Drosophila melanogaster: one gene and its partners. The protein of the gene in region 4 interacts with the protein of the main gene of each other region in a pairwise test. Each region holds a gene or a part of one and is shown on either strand. Other genes may lie near its edges. The genes, in order: aln, CG13476, CG32655 and Nnf1b.

Region 1 (9,006 bases), on a different chromosome or scaffold from region 4:
TATTATGGAGTTTGCTCCTGCTAACGAACTATATCCCATGTCCTGTCCTTTTCAGAGCCACACCGCTGTGTCTGACAAGGCTGCAGCCCTCAAAAAGCGGCAATGCGTCTTTGCGGAGCTGATGTCCACGGAGGAGGCATATGTACAGGATCTGCATGAGATCGTCAATGGGTACGTTCTGAATTTGCTCGTTCAATCCTATACATGCTGTTTTATTAAACATTTTTTTTTCCAGTTACATGACAGAGATTAACAACACGAACAGTGATATACCCATGCCTGAGGACCTGAAGGGTGGTAAAATGAAGTTGGTCTTCAACAATATTAAAGACATCTACGAGTGGCACAGGGAGTGAGTATAGAGAACCCTTCCATCTAAAGTAGGCAACTTATTCAACAAACTCGTGTTACTTCCAGCTTCTTCCTGAGAGCCCTGCGCAACTGCCAAAAATCGCCGGCGGACCTGGGTCCGCTCATCAAGCGGTCAGCCACCAAGTTCGCTCTGTACTACACCTATTGCAGCAACAAACCGCTGTCCGAATACATAGTCAGTGCCCATTATCAGTATTTCGATAGCATACGTCAGAAGCTGGGACATCGTCTGGATGTAAGTCAAAATTGTCTAATCATACTCGTAATTGGAATACATACACTTTGTGAAATCTGTAACTTATTTATTCCCGCTTTTCTAATCCGCAGCTGAGTAACTTGATCATCAAGCCGGTGCAGCGAATCACTAAATACGAGCTACTCATCAAGGAGATCATCAAGGCCACCGAGGGAGCCGGGCTTTACAAGGAGGTGCCCATGCTGCAGGAGGCCTACCAACAGATGAAGGTCGTCGTCAAGACGGTCAACGATATGATGGTGGTGCTGCGCAGCTTGCAGGACTTCGATGGGGAGATAACCGCCCAAGGCAGCCTGTTGATGCAGGGACCCATGAACTGCGTGGTGGATGCGGCACAGAAGCACCGCGAGCTTCAGGTGTTCCTCTTCCAGCAGATCATCATCTTTGCGGATATTGAGAAGACCAAGAACCAGTATGCCAGTCCCATATTCAAATACAGATCGCACATACAGGTGAGAGGGATAACATAGAATTTTCGAATGGGTTAACAATAACCGATTACCACCGTCAGCTCAATCACATGCAAATGAAGGAACTGGGCGACTGCCGCTTTCAAATAAGGTCGACTGACCCCAAGATCCCAGAGATGACGATCATCTGCCAGGCGGCGTCGCAGGAGAACTACGCGGGGTGGCGCGATATGCTAAACAAGATACTGCAGCAGCAGAACGACCTGATCTTCATGCTCTCCAATCCCCTGTCAACCAAAAACAAATGAACGCCGTTGGCGAAAGAATTCCAAATGATAAGGCAGGAAGCTTAAAGGCAAGCAAGAACAACAAACGAAAGTATGAGAAAATGATATTCAAATGTGTTTTGGGCAAAGGTGTTCCGCCACCGAAGTGAGCATTAGCCTCGCACTTGTTTTTCCGTCTGTGCGTTTGTTTACGGATAGTTTTGCTCACTCACACCCAGAAACACTCGCATACTCAATCCTAATTTGTATGTAACTTGTAATTGTAATTTATTTATTCGTCATCAATTGCGTTTCCGTTCAGTCCACCTTTAGATTTTAGTTGGGCCGCCTTTCTGTTCGTATAGTTTTTGTTTTCTATTCCGGATTTGTGTGTATGAAACGCAAAGTATTATATGCTCAAGATTACCTTTGACATTGTGTGCATTTTTAACTTATTTAGACTCCTTTGCTCTTAGTTTTACTTTTCCGAGTCTGATTTACTAACGATCCGCAGCCGAGAACTACTCAGAATCAAAAGCAATTTACATTTCGTTTTCGTTTCGTACTCGTTTTATTCGCATTGAACGCAGAGAGTAAGAGTATAACTATTCTAGCCTTAGTTTGGTACATAGTTTTAGTTAAACTGCTAAATGTTAATCATAGTTTATACTTGAGTTACTGGATTTGCTTTGCAAAACTAAAGCAGAGATTTGTGTAATGGCACTCGTTCGAGTGTGACAACTTCGTGAAATAATTTAAGCTTAACTTTAGTTTATGAATGCAATGCAAAGCTTATTTGTACTTTATAATTTACAAATAAAATATGTAAGCTTTAAACGTAATCAAAACCAGAAACAATAAGTTTTTAATTATTCTAATTTTAAACTATGCCCGAAATAAACATAATGCCTGCTCGGATGTAATTATTATTTTTTGGTTTTCGTATTCTTTGCCCCATTTTCGGTTGTTTTGTTCACAAAAAAGTCCACAACACTTATAGGCTAAGCAGTCAAGTTTGAAGCCCGAACACCCAGATGATAGCACTTAAGCCAATCTAAACTGTATCCGAGACGATTTTCGAAGCATATTTCTCGTTTTGGTGTCTGTGCGTTTATGTTAGTTGGTAAGCAGGAGCCAGTTGGGCCAATGTACAGTGTAGCATACGAGGATAAGTCAGAGTCACTCAAATGCATGTGTCTCTTGCAAACAAATTACTCAAACAGGACCAGGATTTGATTAAACGATTATATGTATAGAACACGAGACGAAGTTACTAAGCGGTTGTCCATCCAATGCTTTCAATCCGATTTTGTCTCTTAGAAGCACCCACACACACACACCGAGACGCCGGTTACAGTCTGGAGCATGAATATAAATGCCAGATGCATATATCAATGCGAGGAAAACAATAATGATTTAGCAAAGCTAAATGTAGGAAGCAAACATGAAATGTATTTTTTTACAACATTTGTGAAACGAACCTCCGGCATTATTCGTAATTAAATGTTAAAGTCGCGACGACGGATCGGATCGGATGGTAGGATCGTAGGTCGAAGGATCGAAGGATCGATGGATCAAATGATCCGATGATCAGATGACAAGCAAACGCACAGTGAGGGGAACCCAATAGCCACAACATTTTCTACATTTTTGCACTTTACTCGTGGAGGGAGCTCTACTCAACTCACAACCGATCGACCGTAACATGTAACATACTAAATTCTTTTCGATTGTATTAATGGCACTTACCGATTAACTAATTGTTGTACTTAAGCCCTGTCGAAATTCTAGATAATTGTGGTAATTAAAGTGTGTGTTTTAGTTTATCTAATTACTCTGACTAACTATAAATATATTAATTACAACTGCGACATCATGTGCGTCAGTGCAATGCGAACAGCATAAAGTAAACGTGTTAATCTGTGTTTTAGTCAAGTAAGCATCAGCTTTCCCTCGGAAAATGCCCGGAAAAGCCTGGCGAGATAAACTTTTGGCCCGGGCGCAGGCTGCAAATAAATATAATTATATCCAGAAACCACTATGCAAATTGTATGTAACCAACAAAGCATGTAATCTGAATTTAAATTTTTCAAAGTGAATAATAACAAAGCAAAAGTAGCTGAATAAACTTAACATACTCAACGGAAATGTTTTTTATTATTCTCATTGTTTAAATTCCGTTTAATGGTACTTGATTTTAAAAACCACGACCGTTAAACAGAATTTAAATTTGGCGCCTATGTTGAAATGGTTGGGAACCCTACAGTTCTAGAGAAGAATGGTGAATGTTAGGTAACCAAGAAGAAGAATGGCGGGAATTTCAATTGTCCAAAAAACTACATTTTGTTTTTGCAGTGGCTTCTTGATTTATCCAATTTAAATTAGATTGGTAATTAATTTAAAGAGGCAATAAGATTTGTTTTGTTGTAGTCAAAAAAAGCATTTTTGTTTTATTTACTTGTAATTAATTAAGTCTACTTATAAAAATGCTATCAGTTTTGAGCCAGCTGTACGCCAATTGATCTACCGTCCGCTGCTTCCGAGCTTCTCCGACTTCCGTACCAATCCCCGAATGTTTTAGACTCCCCGACGTGCCTGTCCCTCGTCGGGAATCACGGATCCTGCGGATGCTGTTGCAGCCTGATGCAGTTGCTTCAGCTCGTTGTAGAGCCTCAGGGCGAGCTGCGTGTTGGGTGCCCACTGGCGTCCTGGCACTTGATGCTCCTTGGGCGGCTGGACGCACATCTTGACCAGCTTCTGGAGCGCCTTGGAGAGGCGCACTCCGCTGAGGAGGCCGGGCTGAAATGTGCCTCCGCCCAGTAGGATGTGCTCGCAGAAAATCTGGAAGTTGTTGTTCTGCTGAATGTGCGTGCAGGATTGCTTCTCCTCGTCACACAATCCTCGGCAGGAGTGGAAGTGGCAGTCCTGGTGGGCGTGGCACTTGACGCCCCTGGACAATCGCTTGTCCAGCTGGCTCTCCACATAGACGTGCTCGGCACTCTGGTACTTCAGTCTTCGCTCAGAGGCGGTTCCGAAGCGATTCACCTGCATCTTGCACATCTTCAGCGGCTCCGGCTTCATTTCGTCCAGTCGGAAAATGTACTCCATAATATTGAGAGCATGCTTCAGCCGCTGCACGCGATTGGAGGCCCTATACAGTTAAAAGATACATAAGTTCCGATCATATTTTCGTTAGAACTAAGAACCCACAGATACTGCATTATGCTGGGGTTGGACTGCACAATCTCCAGTCCCTCAGTGGCGTAGTAGGGTCCACAGGAGCCCAGCACAGCCGGAAAGATGGATTCCTCGTCGAAAAGTTTGCCCATCATGTAGTTGTTGTCCTTGAAGAGCCGCCAAAAACTGACCATCTGCTGCGAGTTATCATCGGCTATTTCCTGGTTGACCAGAGCGCGGATCTGAAATTTTCACATGAAAGCCAGATACTTTATTTTCTGAGCACAATCTAATCTCGTGTCTATTCACCATATTATCATCCAGGGTGACATTGTACGCCAGAATGATGTGCAGCTTCACGATCTCGTGGAACTCCTCGAGCTTGGGGTATATCGACTCCCCCTTGTTGTTCGTCCAGCTCAGCTCGTCATCGTTGTGCCGGGCCAGCTAAGTGAGTGGAAAAATGGAAAAGTCGTAGTCTTGGCAACCAGAGCGTGAGAACCAGGAAAACGCGACCTACCTTCACCGCATACAAGTCGCCGTTCTTTTCGGCCGTAAAGAGGATAGTTTTCATATCATTCAGCGGACACTGAAAGTTGTCGAAGGAAGATTGGGAACCACAGAGTTCCTCACACAGAGAGCCGCTGTACTCATGTTTTTCGAATTTCTGGCACTATTCCATACAAGATTATATTGAGAAATGCATATATTGCAGTGAAGGAAAGGGGAAATAGCTTACCATCAAGTTGAGGCTCCGATGGGACATCAACTTGAAGCAGAACTTGAGGTTGAGAAAGGCGTAGCTGAAAATGCCCACCGCCAGCAGGACCGCAATTAAAACCGTGCGCTGCATTCCGAACCGAATTTTCCGACGCAGGGCGGTCAACATTTTAAAAGCCAGAGATTTCCATTTTTAACCAGCTTGCTTACACACCCCATCGAAGGTACGGGTATATACCCTTAAAGTCCAGAACTGTCAACCAAATCTGACACATCCTTGACATGCGCAGTGCGCACTCGAATCCTTTTTATCGATGTATATCGCAATCAGTGCTGCCAATGTATCCTTTATTTCTTAAAAGTGTTCTCCACCCGAAATTGTCATGAAAATGATTTCCTTTCAGCCACATTTTTACCCTGGCCCAAGAACAAGACTGGTTTGTATTTTGAAATTATTACTTAACGTATAATTCTTTATTTATACTCTCAGCTAAATTGAGCAATTTACTTTACTTAATTCATCAATTTTTATTTGTATTTTTAATAAGTTGTCTTTTAATTTCATTCAAGTGTTTAGAGTTTCCGTTTTGCATTTGCTTCTCGTTTCTTTGCTCTGCCTTACTAAAAATTATTTAAATTCAGAATCATATACCTAGGTTCAAGTTTATTGTTGTATATTAATAATGTAATTATTATTCCGCGTTACTCCCACTTCCACCTCCGAATATTCTCAGTGTGTCGGAATGCGAATCTGGCTGGCAAGTCTGTATAGTTTGAGTGTTTCTTCAGGGTCTTGCTAATATTCACCGTTGCGTGTATTTATATACTTAAGATAACCGTTCTGTATGCACAATTTTAACTAGTTATGTACACAACTATAAGTGGCTATGACAAATGCTAGAACATATCCGAACCACAAACTAAAGTACAAACAGGTAAAAAAAAGTCGCTAGGGTATAATGCCATTGTTAATTGTGTTAATTCAGCTATATTTTCAATCGGCATCTTACTAATTCTTGCCGCTGGCTTTAACTTCTGTTCGGTTTTGTGTGTGATTATCGTGGCTCGAAATCTCATCGATTCGAGGGTTTTTGGGCTAACTGGTAAGTTTGTGTCCTTGCTACGTGAACTTTAAAGGGATTTGCCTCGGTTTTAGTAGTGCCTCTCCCATAGTAGTGGTTTTCCTATTAGCGGATAATGTCTTTAACTCGGTCCGTTGTTTTGGGGATTTTCGGGTTGCATTCTAGGGCTAATTGTTTCGGCAGATCAGAATCTGTTATTTACAGTTCGAATGGTGCACACAACTTAAGACCAGTCAGTTTCCGTTTCCGGTGCCGAGTTCACGCACCTTTTACGCCATTTTGAGGTGCCTGTTTTTTTTATTCGTTTTCGATTTTTATACTTGATTTAACTTTACGCAATGTTAACATTCTGTCTTTTGATTTTGTTACAAAATCGCACGGCCGCGTGGCGTTTTAATTTTTTGTTGGTTTTTCGGTTTCGTAGCTCCGTTTAACTCATTATTGTTTTCCTTAGTTCATTAAAATAATGTAAAAAATCTGCAAATTGCATGCTCCTCTTTAATTAATGTGCCTTTAAAAAATGTCTATGATTTCTCTATATGTATTCATTCTTATATTTACAGCAGTTTTCATTTTCGATTTGGTTTTGTGAACTTGATCCTTTAGTGTTTTTTTTTCTTTTTCGTTTGAGTCTCCCAGAGGATCTTGTTCTTGTTGTTCTTTTACTTAAAACCTTTGTTTTTGGCAGTGCATTTATATTTATTATTTTCGGTTCACTAATTCATAATGATTCGCCACGGCTAAAGACTACAAATTAAGTTCATTTAGTTGTTACTCGTAAATTAGGTTAGTAATTAATCAACAGCAGTTATTTACAATTTTCTCGGTTTTCTTTGTTCTCACGCAAGGTACGTCTGATTCAACGGCCATTAAAATAAGTTGGAGTGCTTAGTTTACATTTATTTTTGGGAGCAACTGAGGCTACGACGAGAGATACGACTAGAAAGTATAATTGGAAGACAGTTGTTGGGGGATAATACACTTGAAAGGAATTATGCGGAAATGCAGAAAAAATCAAAAGAATTGTGGGGCTCTGGGTGAAACGAAAACGTATTTAATCCTTGAGCAAAACGGCTTATTGCTTTATTACAAAAATCGCAAGCAGTCCCTGAAAATACGCGCATATCAAATAAATGCTAACAAAACTCTCACTTTTTCGTGTAATCTTAACACTCGTTTTTATAACATTTAACTTGTTGTCCTTAGTGTGCCAAACTACAGTTGCTGTTCTTGTCTTGCTTGTTTTGTTTGTTAATTAATGGTTAATTTCATTATTTAGTTGCACTTGCGTTTGCAGTTGCGGTTGCTGAAACTCTAAATCTTGTGGCGCTGCTCCGATCTGATCCATCTGATCCATCTGATCGCATCCTTATAGCTAGCTTTAACTGGTATGTTTAGATTGGTTGTCTATCTTCTAGGCTTGAGTAGGTGTGCATTATTATTTCCATTTGCCTTGGCTCTTAACTATGTATATGGGTTTAGTCAATTTAAATATGCAAATTCAAAACCTTCGCTTATGTTTAAGTTGAATATACAAATGCCCGCCTCTGATACCGCTTGTATTTATTATGTATACGCACTGTTAGCTTAAGTACTTCCTTTCATTATTTAAAATAGTCGTTGTTCATCTTCCTCTTGTGTTTGCAGCTGATGTGATTCGTGTGTGTGGCTTGTTTGTGCATTAGGGCGAGTGAATTTCTGGAAGGTAAAACTATATACAAGTTCTCCAAGATTGTACGGACAATAACCTATATAACTTCAAGAACCCGAATTTTACCACCCTCGTAAATCCACCCTTTCCGTAGTGCTCGTGTCTGATCTGTGTGATCCTCGCTTTAAACAGAGTTTTGGCTTAGCAAAAATTAACTTTAATTTACTTAACTTTTTGGCAGTGTAAAAATTGTAATTAAATGTAATTATGGTTCTCGATCGGCCGAACAACACCGCTGCTTCCTCGGCTATTGCTTGTCCAGTCGCCACATGATTAGTCTTCGTCCAGGCTCTGCGATCGTCGCTTCGAGACCACCAGGTATTTGCGGCCGAAGTAGGGTGAATCTAGGGGAGGATGCAGGATTCAGGATGCAGTGAGTCCGCGGAATCGCTCACTTCTTGCGCAGGAAGTCGGTGTACTTGCGTGCTCGCTTGCGCACTCGCTTCAAAGCCGATCCCAACCGGAACTGATCGTCGGTCAGATCGTAGGCGGGGTGGTTTAGCAGGTGGTGCACGTGGTGGCCGTGGGTGTGCGTGTGGGCGTGGCTGTGGTGCGATTGTGAGTGCGGTGAGTTGGCGTGATGATAGTGGTGCATCTGGACAAAGTCATCGCCAGCAGGGTTCACGGACCCCGACAGCGGGGAGCCCGGCGACATAGGTTGGGCAGCTAGCAAATTGTGTTCGGAGGCGGCATCGAAGGACTCGAAGTGGTGCAGCTGCTGGTGGTGCGTCAGTGGTTGCGGCGATGGCAGCGACGAGGAGTGCTCACTGGTGGTGGAGGCGCCACCGCCTCCAGCGCCCTCCAATCCGCAAAACTCCTTGGGTAGCTCGTCTATGCCCAGGGGCTTCTCGAAATGCGAGTTTCCCGACATGTTCGTGTAATCGTAGCTGGGATAGGTGTAGGGCAAATAGCCCGCATGGTGACCCACCTCACAGCCCATCTCGGAACCACCGCTTGCACCACTTCTGTTATTGATAAACTTGACCTCGTTGGCATTCCGTTCCAAGCTGCT
Region 2 (2,710 bases), on a different chromosome or scaffold from region 4:
GAAAGAGCGGAGCAAAACAAACCCACCGATGAGTGAGTTTGCTTTGAGTGAGAGAGCAGAGAGCCTGAGTCAACAGGTTGTTTTGCTGGTTGGGTCACTTAACCTCGTTACTCTTTGTATTCCTCTGTGGGTCACACGGGGCGTATGTGCAATATGGCTCACTCGGTGCGTATGTGTGGCGTATATGGCTCAAGTTTGCCGACAAATCGCCGACAAATTGTTTAGGAACATGGATGCTGGCTACGCACACGACTTGGATTACCAGTTGGGATTGTCTTTAACCCAGGCTGTGGGTTGTCACAGTGCGTATACGTGATTTTGTCTTGACTTTTCTGCAGGACAATTTGTGCGGATGTTGGCGTGCTTTTCTCTTTTCTTTCTGTTCATAATTTTGTATTTTTATGGTCATCCTAAGTTTTTTCGTTTCAAGGGTTTTAACATTTCGAACGTCTTAGAAACTTTCCCACAACTATAAACTGAAGAAAGAGACAATGGGTTTTGTCATTTCACCATGCAAATTTAATTGAATCGATAAAAAATATAAAACATTTGTAGCCCTGACCACCTTATTATTCCTTTTAAATGTGTGAGGTGGAATTGACAACGCATTAAATTAAGACGTTAGTAATCGAATTGGTGCGGTCTTGGATCCTATTTAAAATGGTTACTGGTCTTCTGTTATGTTTATATCAATAGAATCCGGCACATCTTTTGGATATTGCTGATTAAAATCAGACGCTGCAAGACTACGGTCATTCAGAACTTCTGTCTCGTCGGAACTCGGATCCAAGTCGAGAAACGCCTTGGAGATCATTTTGGGATTTAGTTCGGCATCCAGGTCGTTGTTCTCAACTATTTTAATCAAAATTTCCAGGAGCAATTCACAACACTTCTTTTCGTAGCCCATAACATTGGAAATGGCATTATGGATTGTGTCCTTCATTTTTAACAGCTCTTGATTCAAGTTTTCGATATCAACTAGAGCTTTCTGGGAACTGGCCAAAGAAACAGCAATGCGACGTCCCAGATCCTCGTGCTCCAGGCGCATATTGGTGGCATTTTCCCGAAGACATTGCAGCCAAATAGAACGCTTGGCCATTCCCCTCATGTTCATTGTGAGCGTACAAAATATACAGATTTTATTTGAATTTATTTTATGTGTGAATATCTGATTACTTTCAGGGCGTCAATAGTACTGGGAAACCTATTTTAGATCCATAGAAATGACACAGAGGCAACTGGGAATGAGTAGCCTGCTTGGGTGGCGCTACAATAAGATGACTGACATCAATTATATTAATTATCAGAGTAAGCCGATTAGCTGGCTAATGAATTAAACATCATGGGAATTTCCCGGCCCATCCTGAAGGCGACAAATCAATGTCACTTAAAACATATAATTATCATCATTAGCCGCCCAAAAGCATCGCACTCCTCATGAACCTAACTTTTATTACAGACTATTTTGCCAAGCTGATGGTGCTCGGTGTTGCATTCATAATTGATTGTCCTGTGGGCAAACGTGTCCTTTGCCTTTGCGTCCTTCGCAAGATAAGCACTTAAGCTAAATGAAAGCAGATGTCTTAATTTTCATTTAAGTTGCTGACAAAGAGATTTCTAAGCTGCTCTGTCAATGCCTTTATCTGCGACCTTCCTGGTTAATTTTTTATTTCGAATGTGCGAACGTAAATGAAAAAACGCTTGGTAATTGGTCAAAGCTCTTGATTCCGGTCCAAAGCAAAGGATTTCATTTTTAATGAGAAGCAAATATGTTCAGCCCTAATTGGATTAATGGGAAGTCCTGCGGGATCTAAACGGCTTGCGGTCTAGGTCAGAGTCAATGCGATAGGGGCGTTTTTTGAGTGAAAATGTTCGCTTTGTTAACAATTTAACAACTTTGTTGGGAATGGCTTAAAATTTTGTTGGAGAAGAAGGATTAAATCATCTATATGTGATGATGAAAAGCCTATTTATATATATATTATGTTATACTCGCATTCAAGAGATTTAAACACTAAAAGATCATATCTCTATATTCTAAGAGCTTTTCATGAATTTTGATTTTTATAATTAAAAAGGCGCAACTCGTTGTGAACATTGTTGTAGGCAAATGAAAAGTCCTTTTTAACCGGCACGATAATTAAATCATGCTCAAACAGAATTTGAACTGAAATCTCCATCATCGGTTTAACTTTTCTTCCGTTTCCTCCGACCGGAAAAAGCTCTTCCTTAGCTGTCAACTGGTAAATGCCGAATTCTATCAATTTGTCATTCAATCATTGCACGAACGTTGCTAAGCCGACTATGCAAATTGAAGTCAAGAGGCATTAAGTCCAATCCCAAAACTAAAACGCTACTCCATGACACAATTGTCAGGGTTTTATCGGCTTATTTCTATGCATGAGTGCAGACACTCACAAGGACACGTTTATACCCACACAAATGCAGAACACTTTTTGAAAAGGAAGAAGCTTTGGCAATTTTCCGATTATTTTTTCTTCCATGTCGAACTTATGTGAATGCATATATAAGAACATCAATCTTTTTTGTTAGTCTGAATTAAGAGAACTTTATTTCTGATGTGGATTGCAAATACTATTCGATTTTAAAGTCGAATTCATATTTAAGAGACTAAGGACGTGTTGACTTTTGTTTATAGTGAAGTTCAAAATGTACCTTATTTATTTATTTTTTTTCTTTTATATATATT
Region 3 (8,897 bases), on a different chromosome or scaffold from region 4:
ACTACAAATCCACTTAGTTGCTAATTGGCGGCAAATCAGCTGGCTAAAGCCTGCTCTTCTGTTTGGCTTTCTTCTCGAATCCAATCGAATCGAATCGAATTGAGTTTGCAGCCATCGGGAGTCGATACCTTGGTCTTTAAACGCGGATTTCTTTGAAATTTTAAGGCAAAGGTGTAATGCAAATATTAAGAGATTTTCCACAGCCAAAAGGAAACCGCAGCCTTACCAACGTTTGAAAATGCTAAATATTTTCTTGGAAAATATAAAACCTATTTCGCACCTAACAAATAATTAAATATTTACGTTTGATTTGATATTGGTACATATTTTCCATTCCACTTAAGTTCTATTGACTTGGCTACTCTTCGATGAAACACAATTGGTAGCACTGATTGTTCTACTTGCTTTGGGTTTGTATCTTTGTATCTAAGCCAGTGAGGAATCGCATCACGTGCATCATGTAGATGCCCCCCTCTCCAACCACCAACGCCTTTTTTCTCGCACTGTATCTGTTTTTTATGCTCCCTCTATTTGTATTTTTATTTTTATTCCAGCTCTGTGTGTTTGTTTCGGTCCAAATCCATTTGAGGCAGCAGGAACTGGCACTTTTTTTTCGGCTCAAACTCTGTGTGGCTTTAAACCTAAACCAGAACCGAAAACCAGAACCAGGAACAAAAAAAAAAAATATATATATATATATACGATGATCGGAGGGGCGAGGCAACCAAGTCGCGGCTCTTGGGCGCCTTGGCTTTTGTGGTCAGTCAGTTTTGGCCGTCTGTGATGGTCGTAAAAATACCCAAGAGATGTCGAAGGCATGTTGCAAAATTTCAAGCTCAAGTCGAAATGGCAGCCAAAGTCTGTTCCACACTCACACGTAGTGCAAAAAACTAAAGGAGCACACACACAGACACAGAAAAGTTGCCTGTTTGGATTTCAAATGGTCAAAATGTGGACATTTGCTTAAAGAAGAAGAAAAAAAATCTTCGTATCTGCAAGATACTTCTTTTATGTCCCTCCCTTTCTCACCACCCTACCCATCTCTTTCGCACGAAACAAGTCTGCTGAAGAAGAGCTTGTTTTCGCATTTTTATGTCCATTGCAAAATGCGGTTTGGCCCATTCAAGGAGCTTACATAATGCCCTACCCACTGAGATTCTTGTAGTTTAGTTTAGTTTTCAGCTAATTAAAATATTGAAATAATACTTTTATCTGCATTTGGTTTTATGCACTGCATTAGTAGTGTAATTTTGTTTTAAAGAAACATTTTATTATATGAAAAACAAACTAAATACACTTATATATGCATTTGCTTATTATTACCCCTGTGTACTTTATCCATAAGTAGCGCCCTTTGGCAGTCGACCCAGTTGAGTGCCCTGGAAAATAAGTTGGTCTACAAGCTGTGGGGCCAATCTTAAGCTCCACAACTCGGGACCTCTCGGCTGCACTCGTCGTCTCTGTTTTATCCAATCCCTCTATCACTTGCACGCACTCACACAAAATTCTTCCTTTTATTTTTTTTTTCCCACTTTTTTTCTCCCTTTTTCTTTTTATTTTTTTTTTTAAATAAAAGTTTGCGTTTTAGCTTTAGCCAGATTTATGTTTTCCTGCTTGCGTTTGCAGAATTGTTGTCGGAAGTTTTTTGTGCAGCATCATGGCACTCACACACACACACACACACAGAAAGTTCTCAAAAAGACGTAAAAAAAAAGATGGAAATAAAACAAGAAGGGAAAAATGAAGTAAGGAAAAGCCGGGCTCCAGTGGCAGCTGGAAAATGGAAAATGGGTTGGGGCTGGGCGAAGTAAGGCGACCGCAAAATATGCTCAGTAGCATTGATGCGCCTTTTGACCCGGCCTCTGACTTTGACACTGAAACCGAAACCGAAACTGAAACTGAAAAAGAAACAGTCAACATAAAACTAAGAAGAAAGGGCTTTTCCCTGTGACTTGGCATTAGTCGAGCAGGAGTGCGTCTTATTAGCAGTTACGTATAGGGCTTACACAGCGAGAAAATGCGTGTGCTGAGGCAATATATCTATATTCAATCTAATCATTAGAATGAATTTTACTACTGCCTCTTGACTCTTCAAAGTGTATAAAAGGGAGAACTACTTGCCCCCTTAATTAAACATAAAATAACATTGTTGCCAATTATGAGAAAGCACATGTAATAGAATTTATAAAAATGTACAACCATCCATTCCACTTCTCACTTTCAAGTGACCCAATTCTATGGGTCATGTTTATTCTGCAAGTGTGCGAAACGGTAACCTTTTCCGGCAAAAAGAACGCTCGAGGCCAGGACCATCATTTCACTTTCACTTGTCCAATTAGCTGTCGAGAATGTACTGGCAATCGGATGTTTAGTACTCCAGATGTCATGTAGTTCGTTTGGTTTTCCACCTCCACCTCCACCTCCGTCGATTCGGATTTGCTTTCATTTGTTCTGGCCATCACACCTGGCCTCCGGGGAAGTCCCAATGAAATCGAATCGAATACACTGAATTGGACATCATTAGCAGGGGGCGTGGGTCGTCGTGGGTGGGCTGGTATAGGATGGGGGTCGTGCCATAAGGGGCAGTAGGTTAAGGAGTTCACCTTGTGAAAGTTACCCCTGGAGGCAGGTGAAATGACCAAAGGAATGGGCAATTCGTTGGGCGAAGATGAAGATTCTACCTCTTCATCTTTCAGTTGGACTGTACGACTGTAATTGAGATGGGTGCAAAGAACGAATGGCAGAGAAGTGGTCCTTCTCGTCCTTTGGCTCCATTCGGTCCTTGAGTCCTCCAGTCGAGTGGACCCAAACAACAAGATGTCATATCATCGGAATGGCAGTCTCATTACGAGACTTTGTTCATCGCCTTTTTGTTCGTTTCCCTTTTCGTTGTGTCTTTTGAGCCGGCATTAATCAAAGGTCTTAGGGTTAATGTTTCGCCAACCGACGTGGTGGGGATATCAAAAACGATTGTGCTCATAATTATAGCGCTGGGAATAGGAGATGATCCAACTGCCTCAGGGGCAACTTCAAATGCAAATGCGGTGATTACGCTTTTGTCAATATTATGTCTGGTATATTTCTCGATTAAAATTTGTCTATCCACTTGATTTATTTCCCATCAAGAGGTTGTCCGATTTCTGTGCTATTTTCTTGACCATTACTGTAAGAGTAGTAGTGTATACAGTATTTATTTACCACACACACACACACACACTAAACTAAGCGGCTGTTAATGACGCAATTTCCGCAAACGCAAACGGAGGCCTTTGGCAACCTTTGAGGGTCAGTTGCTTTGGCCAACTTCTTGGTGTTGTTGGCCAAAGCTAATTAGCTTAGCGCGTTTAAATCGCTCGAGCATCGCTCATTTCTAAGGCATCTCTCTATATACTGCTTTATATAAACGGATATGTAACCCCGGAGAAATGGCTGTCGATAAATAAAATAAAAGGCGGGGAGGAGTGCCTCGTACAAGCCACAAAATACGAAAACAACAACTGGGATAACCCTTTTTTTTCCAACAGACAATTCCAAGCCATTACACTGAGAAATGTGACACAATTTGAATAACATTTAAAATATAAAATTGAGCATCAATTCGGTTTGGATTCCGGCTTTTTTCATCCTTGTCTTTATTTTGCTGATGGTTTTTGGACATACCAACCCAACTCCTTGAAGTGATGGATTTGCTGCCTGAAGAGAACATTTTCTTGGGCCTTTTCTTTCCATTCCCCATTTTTCCGGGCCGTCTCTTCGTTGTTGTTGTTTGTTTGTTTTATTTTTTGTTCCCCCGCCACGACTTTCTGTTCTTTTTCGTTTTTACTTTGTCTAAATTGCGTAAATTATTGGCATATGTTGTCTTCGAAGTCCTGTCGAGAGAGGCAATGAAACATTTTTAACCCTTTTCCTTGGAAATTGACAGGGGCGTAGGTTGGTGTGCGCTGCGAAAATGTCGATGTCGGCCTGGTATTTTTTATTCCATTTTGCCGTCTTTCTCTGGGATTCTCGGGTGCTCTCCCTAGTTTTTGATATCCCCCATAACCCCACATTTTGGGGCGCCTCTGTCTGGCTGCCAGTTGGCTGTCATTTATTCCCACTTCGGGTTCAGTTTCGGCTTCCACCAATTTTCTCCGGCTCCTCTCTCCCACTTTCTTTCTGTTTTTTTTTTTTTTTTATCATTTATGGCCGTCGTTCTTTGGCTTTTTATGTGCGCTATTTCGCGATGTAGAACAATAGCCGCCCGCCAGCTCATTCAACCCACTGCCAAAGTCGTGGATCCAGGATCCCAGGATCCTGAGTCCGGAATCCTACTGTTCCTGCTCCAGCTCCAACTTCATCTTCGTGTGCTTTTGTTACAGCAAAACGGGCAGGGTGAGCCACTACTGTCCTTCACTATCGCTCGTTGCGCCCTCGCGCTACTTTATTGTCTTGCCAAAAGAAATAGACTTTTAATATACTTGGCCATTCAGAGCACAAAACATGGAGCGAAGCTCCCAGGGAAAACTCCTTTTTCCCTCCTCAAAAAAAAAAGCAAAAAAAAACTGCCAGCAAACACACGGAAAATAGAGGAAAAAAGGACAAGTGTCTGGGAGTGTGGAAATATTAGGCGATTTTGCCAGTTCATTGACTTGCCACAACAATAGTTTGAAGTTTGTCTGCCAAAATATGAGATTCCGAATAAAATGGAACCAATCCCGGGATGGGGGATTCGAAGGCGAGCGACGGAAAACAGAAGCTAAAAAGTTTTTCACTTTAATAGTTCGACCAATTTGAGAGTGGCTAAAAGGCCAGGATAATGGCAGCACAGGGAGTGCAAATAAAATCGTACTCCGATTTATTTGTACTTTTTGTTGGGCGCAATTTCTGACTTGATCAATTTGAAACTTGGCCATTTTATAGCCATCATTTCGGATCAAAATAAAGCCATGTTAAATCTATTTTTTTTTTTTTTTTCAATATCTAAAACATGTTGGCCTTGATTTTAGTTGACTAGATTTCGAACATCCATCAGTTGATTATCTCAGTTTAAACACGACACAGTAACTGTGCACTACACAATAGAACAAAATTCCAAAATATTGTTGTTTCAGGTCTAGGAAATTCAAAATTTTTTTTTTGTTTTTGATAGAGCGACTGAGGATTCCCTACTCTAAGACAATTCCCAAGAGAACCTCAAGCTCAAATCTCAAATAAAATATGGCCGAGAAGAAATCCCAGGACAATAAGGATAATGTCAGTGGATCCCAGAATCGAACGAGCCGCGTGGAAGCCCATGTTCGCCAGCAAGAAGAGAATAATGCTATATTTGCTCGACTTTTTGCCAGTTTGGACGCTGAACATCGTAAATTGAAAGAACTTGAAGAGCGCAGATCGCAGCTAATTGAAGAAATGAAAAATTTGAGGTCTCTACTCTTTGTTGAGAATAAAAAACTTCGACAGACCGTTGCTCCCATTTCGGGTGGAAATCCATTACCAATTCCAGCTACCAGTGCTAGTTCCGTCGTGAAAAAGAGTTCGGAGAAACCTTCTGGCTCTAGGACCTCTCCCATTATCAAGTCAGCACGTTTGGAACGACGACCTTCCAATAAATCGGTTACAATTGCCGATCCACCAACACAAAGTTTAACGACTAGCGAAAGACCCAAGGCAAGTAGTTCACAAGGTTTAAAGAAAAAGGAAAATCGACGAAGTCTCGTTGTTCCAGCAAGGAAAAATAAACATAGAATAACTTTGGGTAATAAGCGGTTTCAGCTATTTCACATTCTAATTTAATCCAATCAAAACGGTATTAAATTTCTAGATAACTTATCAAATACCAGAGAGGACATGTTAGACGAGTTCGATGAATCCGCATTGGCAACTTCTGTGGGCTCCAATTTGCAGACTTTGGAGCAGCGAAGATCCAATTTAGAGGAACGAGAAGATATAGACGAAGTTTTGGTCTCGCTGTCAGCATTATTCACCTTTGTGGATTCTCAATTTACAGACCAGGCCATTTTACCAAGTACACCTGATACCGATGATTCCAAAACTGACGAAGTGATTCCCAATACCGATCAAGATCCAAGTTTTTATCTCCCAAGTGCCGATTCTTTGTTCAAGGACATACTGGGACCGAATTCGCCATCCTTAGAGGTGAAATTGCCAGAAGAATCACTTCAATTGCAACCAGCTGACATTGTCGAATGTTCAGCGAATGTGGCGGAAATCGTTGAAAATGAACACGAAACGGAAACGGAAACGGAAACTGATTAAAAGCCCCCTTTAAGGGTTTTTAAGACTAATCTAATGGTTAATTAAACTTGGAAGTGCAGCTATTTACTAGATCTGGCAACAATATTAAACAAATACACACATTGAAGCCAACTAGCCAGCCTTTTCATTGGGGGATCCACTGAAAGGCTTTTAGAAAACTCTGTTTAAAAATCCTATAGTTTTAAACTTTGAATAGCTGAATGGCTCACCGCATGACTACTTAGTTTTTCAGGGATCAAAGGCAAACAATTTTCCTGTTGATGCTATCAAAAATGTGGCAACATATTTACGTACAAGTGGAGGGCCTATTATTTTTGGGGTGGAAGAAAATCTGCACATGCTCATGGCATATTCGGTCGACTTTTCTCAGCATATCTTGTGCTTTATTTTTTGTTCGTTTTTTTTTTTGTTTCTTATTCAATTTGCCGACCCTTGGTCCCCTGTCTCAAATTGAAGTCCTGGGGGTCGAGGACACTCTCCACATCCATTTCAAAACAAATTAGTTGCCAACTGTCCGAAACAAATGTTGTCTAACGAGCAAAATCGAGTTGTCTCCCATTGCTATAAGAATACACATGAACTAGGTAGGTATACCATATACACATAAATATATATAATACAATATATATTTGGTATATATGTATGTACGGACATGTCCACTTCTTGGGAGTTTTGTGCGACTTGTTTGTCCAACGAAATGATATGAAAAGCTCGGCATTTCAATCATAATGTTCATCACGATTTTTTCCTCTTTTCCTTTGGGGTGGCATAGAGATGATGGTGGGGACTTATTGATTGGACTGGGTCAAGAGGTTATGTTTTGTGTGTGCGATTTTTGCTAGTGAAATGCACTTGAAGTGCAAAACTAAACTTGCAAGTCAAACCTGAAGCTAAAAAAAAAAAGAAAAGAAATAAATAAAAAAAAAAATGGAAAACTCGAGAACTGAAAACTGAACTAAGGCAAACCGAAAACTAAACAAGTTTCTGGCTACCGAAAAACCACCTGACCCATACGAGCACACACAAATTACTTATGTGCGGATGGTGGGTGGTTCGTTCAGTGGGTGGTTACACATTTCATTTTTTTTTTCTTTCTTTTTTTTTGGTTACTGTTGTTGTTTGTTTTCAAGTAGGTCATTAGAGAGGCCTTCGCCCTTCGCCCAGCCACTTGAATTATTAAATTCCCCCGGCATTTCGAAGTTCTGCAGTTGAGCCAAGCGAAACGAGGCGCTTTTCCTGCCCTCGCTCCTCAAATATGCACATTTTTCTATACATATACACCCATCCATTCGTCCATCCATCCATCCATCCATATATACATTTATACATATATAGTAGGTCCTATTCGCATTCGTAATCGTATTCCAGGTTTGCCAGACTGTTTCCATAACTTACCTAAAAGTGGCGAAAAAAAAAGAGAGAAACAGAAATATTTATTGTAATTTTTCTGTTTTCAATTCGCAGCAGCAGCTTAAATATGGGCTACTTTGACATTCAAGGGGACATAATAAATCAGCAAGAGAAAAAATGCAATATTTTTAAAACATATAGGTCAGGCATGAAAATGTATATACATTTTAGATCCTCTTCTTACTTTTGTTTTGCTTGCAAAAAGCTTGAGCATAGATTTGTCACCCGCAAAGGTAACTTTTAACCAATTCCCAATTCCAGTGCGATTTTCTATGCTCCTAGTGCTATGGAATTTAGTATTTAACTATTTAAGTTGAAGTGAATTCTAGAGCACACTCTACGGTTGTGGTCCCGCGTTCGGCTGGCAGTCCCATAAAAAGTAATTGGAATTTTCATTTAATATAAAAGCTGAGCGAACAACACAGGCAGCGGAACACAATCTAACCCACTTGGCAGCTTGCAATCGCACAGCAACCAAAAACTATGCATATAAACGGGGGCCACTGATGTTAGGATCTACACCCCCTCCCTTCCCCTTTGGGAAACCCTCTCGAAATATCCATCTCTACCATTTTGAACTGGAAAAAGGATACAATGTAGCCAGTGGAGCATCCTCATACTCATGGATATGTGTATCCCCGTGCAGGCTCGGCTCGTTGCTCATAAAACTCACTCAAGTAAAAGTACGAATGGTTTTCGATATGAAATGCATGAAACTAACAGGCAAACATATTGCGCCGCATTGCCGAAACCCGCCCACGGCCACGCCCACACGACCCAAACGCCCACACGCCCATATTTCCAACCCACTACACCGGGGGATAAAATCATATAAGCATCTTATTTATTTTCACTCATTTAGTTTGCATCCAAATATTTCTATTTTTTTTTTTTTTTGTTTAAATCTCTGGCATACGGATTTTTTCAATTTTTATGTTTACTTAGTGCTCAAAGTTGGCTCGATTTTAATATAAAATCGTGAAAGCAGTTTCAATCAATATAAAAAAATGAAAACAAAATTAAAAAACAATATGTAATCGTTGAGCAGTTATCAGTGCTTAAAAGTTTGATTTTAAAGTTGAATTTTTTTAGAAATGTTAATGCCAATTGAAATTATTTTTACAAAGTAACAAAACATATTTTTTTGTTGTACTGTTAAGTAATTAATAAGCAATTCCTTAACAGGTGGTCCATTTTTTTTTTTTACAGTGCAGCCAGCCCCTTGTATCAGT
Region 4 (8,277 bases):
CCCGCCAGTCTGGCCGGGGGATCCCAAACCACCCGCCGGCGGGGGGTTTCTTTGGCAGCCAGCTGCCGGGCGAAGGTCGGAGTTCCCAGGACCCCGACTTCAACAGCTTAGCAGCCCGTGTCAATGGCTCAGTGCGTGAGAATTTGTTGCTGCGGGAGCTTAGAGGGTGGAAATCGGAGAAGGACATGGACAGGAGAGGGCAGGTGACAGGTGGCGGCGCTCACCTGAGCCACATACATCACCGGGAGCCCCCGATCCACGTTTAGTAGACAGTTTTATTTACGCTGATGGCCATAAATATTTGAATTACAATATAATATTTAAGCCCGAAGCCAGCTCCGTTGATTCAGCAGGGCTAGGGGTGAAAGATTTATGGCTGCCGCAAATCTACGCCAGCCACTTAATGCATTTTAATTTATTAAGCTGTCAATCTGCCGGTGCGGAACAGGCCCACATCCTCATCCGCATCCGCATCCGCGTCCGCATTCGCACTCCCATCCGCCTATCCATCCGCCATCCATCCGCACAGGTGTGCCTTAGCACGTGTGGATGGGATTTGGGCAGCGAAGAGTTATGCGATTTCTCCTGGACACGAACGGAATCCAAGTTAACTGCATTACCAGGCGGAGAAGGAGGAGGAGGAGGAGCCACAAGTTGATTTTCAGCGAGAAGAGTATAAACACAGCAAGCAAATATCCGCACCTTAAATGGATACGTATTGTATCTTATTGATTGAACAAGTTCCAATACCCAGCTGGCCTATGAAGATAGATCTTGCTATTGATCATAAGTGCAGTATGCCACGCAACAAGCTACCCATTTTTCTCTCAGTGCAGGCAGGGTGAGTTGAGAGCCAGATGTCGTTGCTTGCCACTCACTTGTCGCCTGTCATCCGTCAGTCCCGAGTCCTGAGTCCTGAGACCTGAGACCTCCATGTCGTCGGTCGCTGGAAGTCGTGTGCCAAATGACCAATTTCAATTAGAGATGCGGAGCCAGAACATCGGAGCTTACAAGAAAGCACGCAGCACCCACACGCAAAATTCAAGTGTCCTTGGAAAGCTACACGGAGAACTACTTGCACTCCCATCAACTCGCCAATAATAATAAATAAGCAGATAATACTGTTCATAAACACATCTGCAGATAGAGTTGAAAGCCATTTGTTTGAATTGAAAGTTTGGCTAAGAAGTAATTGCTGCAACTTTATGTGGCAAACCTTCGATTTTTTTTCGCAGTGCAACCACACACTCAGCAATCTGCTGGCTGTTTAAATATGAGCAACAGATTAAAACTTAATTTAAAGTTGACCCAGCCGGGTTTCGTGTTTCCACTTCAAGTTTAATTAATATGTTAAGCCCGTAAAAGCCGCTTCGGTAAACTAACCCCACCAGCCGGTTGTTGCTCCGGTGTTTGTTTTTTGTTCGGCCCATTCCCGAAAAGGAAATCAACCCCCCCCCCTCTCCCACCGAGAGCTTAGGCAAACAAAAGGTTTGCGAATCGCATTCCATGGAAGATGAGGCGTCTCCAACGATATGAAGGACTTACATGTGTAGCTGGAACTCGGTTTGCATACCAATTGTCTGACGCTACTTTCGACCATTGTACTTGCGTTTCATTAGTGTTAATCCGCAAAATCGGTAGGACTACGGCTGCCATATCCAGATATGTGCAGATACATATACACAGCCTTGTATATGGCGGCAGCTGTGGTTTCATGCATTGTTCTAATGCGTGCTTAAAGCGCATTTCCAGCACGCATGAGTGCCCACAGTTGCGGTCACATGAATAGTGGTCGGCTCCTAACCATCGATTTGCGCGACAGCTTGTTAGTTCAGAAACTATTAAAAGTCGCTTAACTCAGGCAAATTCTGCACAATTGATCTACATATGTGTGTCAAGCACACGTAGGCGACCTCCACTGTGGATTTGCATGCGAATGCAGCTCCCAAATTCACGAACAAAGCACAAAGCACCACTCGACAAATGCGCTGTAATTCGAGGCGACAAGTATGCAGCGAAAATTTTAAATGCATTTCACGCACTGCGGCTGACGCACCGCTCCCCCAGCCCCACACCCCCTCCCACCACTGGTATTTTCCCAGTGGTTCTCCATTCCTGTCACGCCCGCAAGTGTCGCCAAGCGACGGCTGCCGCTGCCAGCCAGGACCCACTGTTGCACACAGGACGAACAGATCAGAGCCAAGCCAACATATCCGCTTCTCATCGATATTTAAATAGCGCATAATCAAGGTGATGATAACACTATCAGCAAATGGTTATAACACACTGATGTTCTTAAACTAAGAAAACAACAATGTACGTTTAGAAGCCTAAAAGGATAAGTGTTTCTTTCAGTGCAGATGGCGTTGACTTGATTGGAATTTGACCAGAATTTCGCCCACTGGCAAAATGGAGCATCAATTAGAGCCAAGTGATTTATCCAATTTGTAGCAGGAGAAACCCTTGACAGGACGACACGAGACTTTCTGATTAGTAAAATAAAACTCGAATAACTTTTTAGCAATCTGACGTCAAAGGATCAGACACGAACGCTCGGAATTGAATATCCAAAAGTTTCTTCTTTCCTCGAGATACAGCTGAACTTTGCTCAAGAACTGATTGCTTTATGTTATATGGAAACTCAGAGGAATAACTTTCTCAAAGGGTTTCTAGGTAAGTGATATGAGTTTATTAAGAAGAAGTATTTTTTCAGAACTTAACATTTTCACTAATTAAAGAGAAGACTTTCGGGGAAAGCATATTCTCTCTTTTGAGCAGGACAAGCGCAAACAGTGTGAGAAATGCATAGTTATTTGGATTGGTATAATTCAGAATTCAGAATTCAGAAAAGTATGCAAAACTTTGTCTCAGAATTTAGGCTCATTTGCATACCAGTCGCACCACAAAAAGTCAACATCTCCAAGTTTTTCACACCATGTGCACGAGAATAAGAATATTAAAATCGCATCTTGCTTGAGGTGTTCGCTTTATAAAGCCATTACCAACTATCCGAAGGACGAAGGCGGGTGGATCCTGGGCGGTGGTTCCTGAACAGTCCGCATGTGTCGGCCGGCATTTTAACACTTTAATCATTGAAATGCAAATTCGGAGCCGAGTTTTAGCAAGACATGCGGCAGAGTGGCACATGCATGTTAACACGGCCACCGACTGGCACGCCTCCTGATTCTGCTTCTGTTCCTGGAGGGGACAGCTCAGGATTCTGGCCGGGATTTAGCATATCTGAGATCCGGGCCACACAAAGAGAAAATGTGTATCGAAACGGAGAAGATGCTAGTGGGTTTTTCAAATCTCACTTAATGGTGCCTGAAAGTATGCACCAAGTTTTGAAAAACATGTATGTCCCATGGGTAACAATGTTTTCCGGGTAACAATTTCGAACTTTCCACCTTTTCATTTTTGTGGCATTTATGGGTCGTTATAAGATTGATGTCGAAATGATTTTTCCTGTGCAGGGGAGAGCACATTTCGAATTCTGCCTACTCCACAGCTGAGTTCCTTTTCGGACCCGGAAAATAATGGAAATGCCGGACCCGGCGAGCGAATAAATTAACCTGGATCGCATTTATATTCGAAAGTAGTGGCTCGGTGATGCTTAAACCTGAGTTTGCCGCAGAATGCTTCCTTTATTGCACGTAAATAAAGTCATAAAGTCATCATTACAACCGCGCCAACGAGGAGCACACGATAAGGAGCACAAAGGACAAACTTTTGTGACTGCGATAAAAATTCGCAAATGCGCACAAATTACTCAAAACATATTAAAAACTGCGTCCCCGCCTCAACAATTTGCCCAAAACGTTGCACAAATTAAAAACCCTCTCGAAAGAGCGGAGATAAAAGGAAATTCCATTGTGGCAAGTTTTCCCGATGTGGCAAACTGCAGTGAAAGCACAACTTTCGGGGAAACTGAAAAGTGCAGTTATTGAGTGTTAGTTGCAAGTTCCTTCGCCGATGCGACATGTGAAAAGTTGTGTAATTCAGTTCGAGAAATACACTCTGAATGTGGCGTAAAAAATGAGTTCAATGTTATATTGAGTGTTTTCGAAGTAATGCCAACTTACCAGATTTGATGCTTGAATTTAACCAATTAGCCAATAACCGTTGTTTAAAATAATTTATACAATATATATGTTATCATAATTGAAAGCAGCTCGAATACCCTATACCTACAATCATGTCATATAGGGGTTGGTATTCACAACCTATCTGTAAATGGTCACATATGTTTTCGGTCGCCAAGTTTTGCTTGTAATTATTATTTTGCCAGAATTGTGTTAAAAGTATGAATAATATTGAAGAGGACACCGAAGCAGCCTTCAAACGGCTCCAGGCTGTCATTCCACAGGTGAAGCAGGCCTACGAGGAAGCCATTGGACAGATCTTCTCGGATTTAAAGTAGGAGAATGGCTGATTAAAAGATTGACCAAACGCTTACTATTGCTTAGCTCCTCAGATCTTGAGTCGTGTGCCTCCATCCTCGAGGAGCACGAATCCACGAGCCTGGACACCGAGCAAATAATCCACAGCACCCGTCGGCTTATGACCAAGATCGTCCTGGATGTGAACCAGTGCTTCTTCTCCGGCAACGACGTGGAGACCAAGCTGACCACGCTGGAAATGCTTAAGGAGCAGTTTGCCGCCCACGAGGGCAAGAACTGGTTAGTGAATGGTTTTGAATTTGGTTGTCCAGCAGCACTTTCCATGGTTTTTAACGTAAATCCGCAGGAACTTCAACTGTCTGTCCCCTGAGGAACTTACTCGCCCTCTGCGCATGCACAACTTGAATCTAAGCATCACATTCATGGAGCAACAGCTTAAGAAACAGGAAAAGGAACTCGAGGTATGTATTTCAACCTCCGAAGAATTAAGTAATACTTGGATTACTTCGATTTTAGATTGCTATGGCCAAAAGCATTAAAAATCGACAGCTTATACATGATGTCCACGCTGAACGGGTGAAAGTGGGATGTATGATGAAGCAGCAGTTGGCCGAGTACCAGGCCATTAAGCCACAGTTAATGGAAATGGAACGGCTAATAAATGATTCGTATGTGCAGGAAGAAATGTAATTTTATAAAAAAAAACAGATTATTATTATTATTATTATTATTATTATTATTATTATATTAGTTGCTGGGTCTTGAAATAAATATGAATTTCAAACTTACCGCCACAAGTGGCATTGAATTCGAGCGGCGCTTTCCAACACTTCGATGCGTGTGCACAGCTGACTTGCCGGCAAATGAAAAACATTGAATAATATTCCGAAAGCATGCTGAACTTGTCCGTGGTGCTCCGGGTGCAATCATCGCGCCATGTGGCTTCATATGCCACAGCGGCGGCGGCGGCAGTTAAGACGAAGCCACCAAAGGCAAAGTCCAAGGGCAAAAAGCAGAAGGGGGAGCCCCTAATCTCCTGCAGAAGAAGCCAGTTCGATTTAACCCAATACGAGCAGACGGATGCCAAGTTTGGGAGTCTTTCGCTGGCCTCCAAGGGCTGGCTGCACAACAAATCCAAGGGAGACTTCTTCATCCTGAACGCCAGCGTGCGAGGTGAGGAACTCCAGCAGGAAATGCAGACCGTCGATGAGTTCCTCGAGAGCACGGGGATGCAGATTCATCCGCAACTCCTTGAGAACTTGCGAGTCGAGCTGGGCATCAAATTACTGACGGGAATCCAAAAACAGGGAATGCCCGTTGTCCATGGAAATGAGCACTGCCTCATTGCCGCTGAAACTGGGTGTGGAAAAACAATTACATATCTCCTGCCTATCGTAGACAAACTCCTCCAGAAAGAAGTGGTCACCGAACGAAAACTCAACACCCCCCGTGTCTTGATCCTCACTCCCGGCAGAGAACTAGCCACGCAGATTGCTGGGGTCACGGAGAAGCTCACCCAGGGCACCAATCTCAAAGTGCAATCTTTACTTGGCGGCAATACCAAGCAGCTTATGATGAACCCACAGTTCGAGGAGGTGGACATACTGGTCGCCACTCTGGGTGCACTTAGCAAACTGGTGACCACTGGCATCTACCGCATGGAGCAGGTTCGTCATCTGGTTCTAGACGAAGCGGACACCCTCCTAGATGATACGTTCACAGACAAACTTTCCTACTTCCTCAGGAGATTTCCCGTAAGTCATTCTAGGCGATTACCAAAGGAATGGCTTCAATCAGCTTGTTTTTTCTTATTCGACAGTTCCACTTGGTGCAAAAGGAGGATGCTGGCACCCAGATGATCCTGGCCTCGGCCACCATGCCCACGAACACCAGAGAGATCCTTCACAAAGTCATAGACGTGGACACCATCCGTGAGGTCGTCAGTCCGCACCTGCACCGACTGATGTCTCATGTGACGCAGAAGTTCCTGCGGCTGTCGAAGGCCGATCGGCCCGCCACACTTCTGTCACTCGTGAAGCATGATCTTGCCAAACGTCGCCCTCTTATCGTGTTCAGCAACAAGTCCACCACCAGTGACTTCGTTTCCATCTTCCTGAACAACAGCGGAGTGAACTGCTTAAATCTGAATGGGGATATGCTGATGAAGATCCGTCTTGGCCGCTTCGAGCAGTTCCAAAACGGTCACTGCGACGTCCTTTCCACCACCGATGTGGGAAGTCGTGGCCTGGATACCACACGAGCTCGACATGTGGTCAACTTTGACTTTCCGCTCCACGTCTCCGATTATATCCATCGTTGTGGCAGGATCGGTCGGGTGGGCAACATGGACAAGGCGCTAGTCACGAACCTGATATCATCGCGCCGCGAAATCGACGTCGTCCAGCGAATTGAGCACGCAGCTCGAACAGGTGGACTTCTGCCGGATGTGAATGCCAACATCCGAAACATTATCAACAAGCGGATTGTGGCGGAGATGAAAGCTGCAGGAATGCCCGTGCCCGCTTTGGGCTCACTAAATGGACATACGCCTCAGGAAGAAGCCTTTTAGTTCTGTGTTTTTATGTATTACGAGTAAAGTTGTATCACCTTTCGGAAGACCGAAGAGGAAGTCTAAAGTAAACGAAGAGTTTTATTGAGATCCCCAGGTCCTCCTGGACCTCCAGAAGGTCTTATAATACTTTCCCAAGTCCCTTTCAGATCCTTAGGTAGTGATAGCCACTGATGGGCGACCACTTTCTCACGTTGGTCAGGGGCTTAAAGAGTTTTCGTTTGGCGATCAGGATGTCGGAGCTGGCACCGCCACCCCCACCACCGTTCGCTGCCGACGAAGGCGAGTCTTCGGAGTGGGGAACAGTCGCAACCTTCGGCTTCAGCAGCACCGGGCGGCATCCTGCAAACTTAAAGCGGATGTTGCCCGCGCAGTTGAGCTGAAGATTTGGTGACTGAAGGTCGGGGAAAGCCTCGCAGAGCGTAGGCTTCGGTTTGAGTGCCTTGCTAGGATCGTCTCCGTGGCACATGGCTGCCGCAAGAGTACTCCATTCCAACCGACGCACTCCCGGCACTGATTCTATTCTGTAAGCGGGTTGTTTGGCCTTCACATACCGTCTGGTTACCATCTTTTCGTAGGCTCCTGCAATGATTTTTAGTTACTTAACCGCTTTTCATGGAACACATGGGTGTTTCTTACGCGCATAGTGGACCAAGAAGGGCTGCAGAGCAGCACCGCATCCGTACTCCAGCCATTCATACAGGTATACGTCATCATGACCGCCAAGGAAGATGGCAGCCGGAGCCAGATCCGGCCACAGGCTATCCGGGATTTCCTCGACGCGCAGTTTGTAGATGTAGGGAATAAACTCACGAAAGGCATATTCTCCCAGGGCAATGAGACCGCGCACTGCTCTACTGATATACCTAAAGTCTTAATTAAGAAATCCAAAGATAAGGATCCAGGCTAACAAATTGTAAGGATGATTTACCTCTCTCACTGCTGACGTGGCGACCTTCGAAGAATCTCGCTAGGCGTCTCTTGATCAAAAACAGGCACTCTGCATGTAGGTAACCACTTTGAGATGCCAGCTGTCCTATAGTTTCACACAGCTCGTCCACCAGGCCATTGCCGACTGGACAGGCAAAGTAGCTGGATAGGTGTTCCGCCTCCGGCTGAGGATTCAATTCCTCCTCCTCCGATTGCAGCTTGTAGATTGTGTGTTCCATGGTGCTCTCACCCGGAAACATCTGGGGTTCTTGCTCCTGTTTCTCTACTCCCATGACCTCCGGATTTTCCTGGGTTTCCGGATTATGGCACTGGTCTGGCTCAACCTTTAGTTCTTCTTCAAACTCCATTTTGATGGAG

What was found.
Region 1: the proteins of Nnf1b (region 4) and aln interact in a two-hybrid assay, tested with the Drosophila melanogaster proteins (one large-scale study listed by BioGRID).
Region 2: the proteins of Nnf1b (region 4) and CG13476 interact in a two-hybrid assay, tested with the Drosophila melanogaster proteins (one large-scale study listed by BioGRID).
Region 3: the proteins of Nnf1b (region 4) and CG32655 interact in a two-hybrid assay, tested with the Drosophila melanogaster proteins (one large-scale study listed by BioGRID).

Annotation. Positions count from the first base shown.
Region 1 is NT_037436.4:990,425-999,430, reverse strand, and holds aln (allnighter), read right to left. Parts: upstream 5,449-9,006; 5' UTR 5,371-5,448; coding exon 5,221-5,370; intron 5,155-5,220; coding exon 5,002-5,154; intron 4,929-5,001; coding exon 4,791-4,928; intron 4,724-4,790; coding exon 4,515-4,723; intron 4,456-4,514; coding exon 3,882-4,455; 3' UTR 3,728-3,881; downstream 1-3,727. Other genes in the region: trio, read left to right, coding at 56-171, 236-352, 418-607, 700-1,080, 1,140-1,346.
Region 2 is NT_037436.4:14,703,948-14,706,657, reverse strand, and holds CG13476 (uncharacterized protein), read right to left. Parts: upstream 1,195-2,710; 5' UTR 1,115-1,194; coding exon 665-1,114; 3' UTR 501-664; downstream 1-500.
Region 3 is NC_004354.4:12,232,029-12,240,925, reverse strand, and holds CG32655 (uncharacterized protein), read left to right. Parts: upstream 1-5,048; 5' UTR 5,049-5,196; coding exon 5,197-5,734; intron 5,735-5,800; coding exon 5,801-6,255; 3' UTR 6,256-6,364; downstream 6,365-8,897.
Region 4 is NT_033779.5:806,343-814,619, forward strand, and holds Nnf1b (Nnf1b), read left to right. Parts: upstream 1-4,234; 5' UTR 4,235-4,303; coding exon 4,304-4,416; intron 4,417-4,466; coding exon 4,467-4,679; intron 4,680-4,746; coding exon 4,747-4,861; intron 4,862-4,916; coding exon 4,917-5,090; 3' UTR 5,091-5,189; downstream 5,190-8,277. Other genes in the region: Dbp21E2 (DEAD box protein 21E2), read left to right, coding at 5,294-6,154, 6,220-6,969; Saf6 (SAGA factor-like TAF6), read right to left, coding at 7,115-7,551, 7,609-7,842, 7,901-8,277.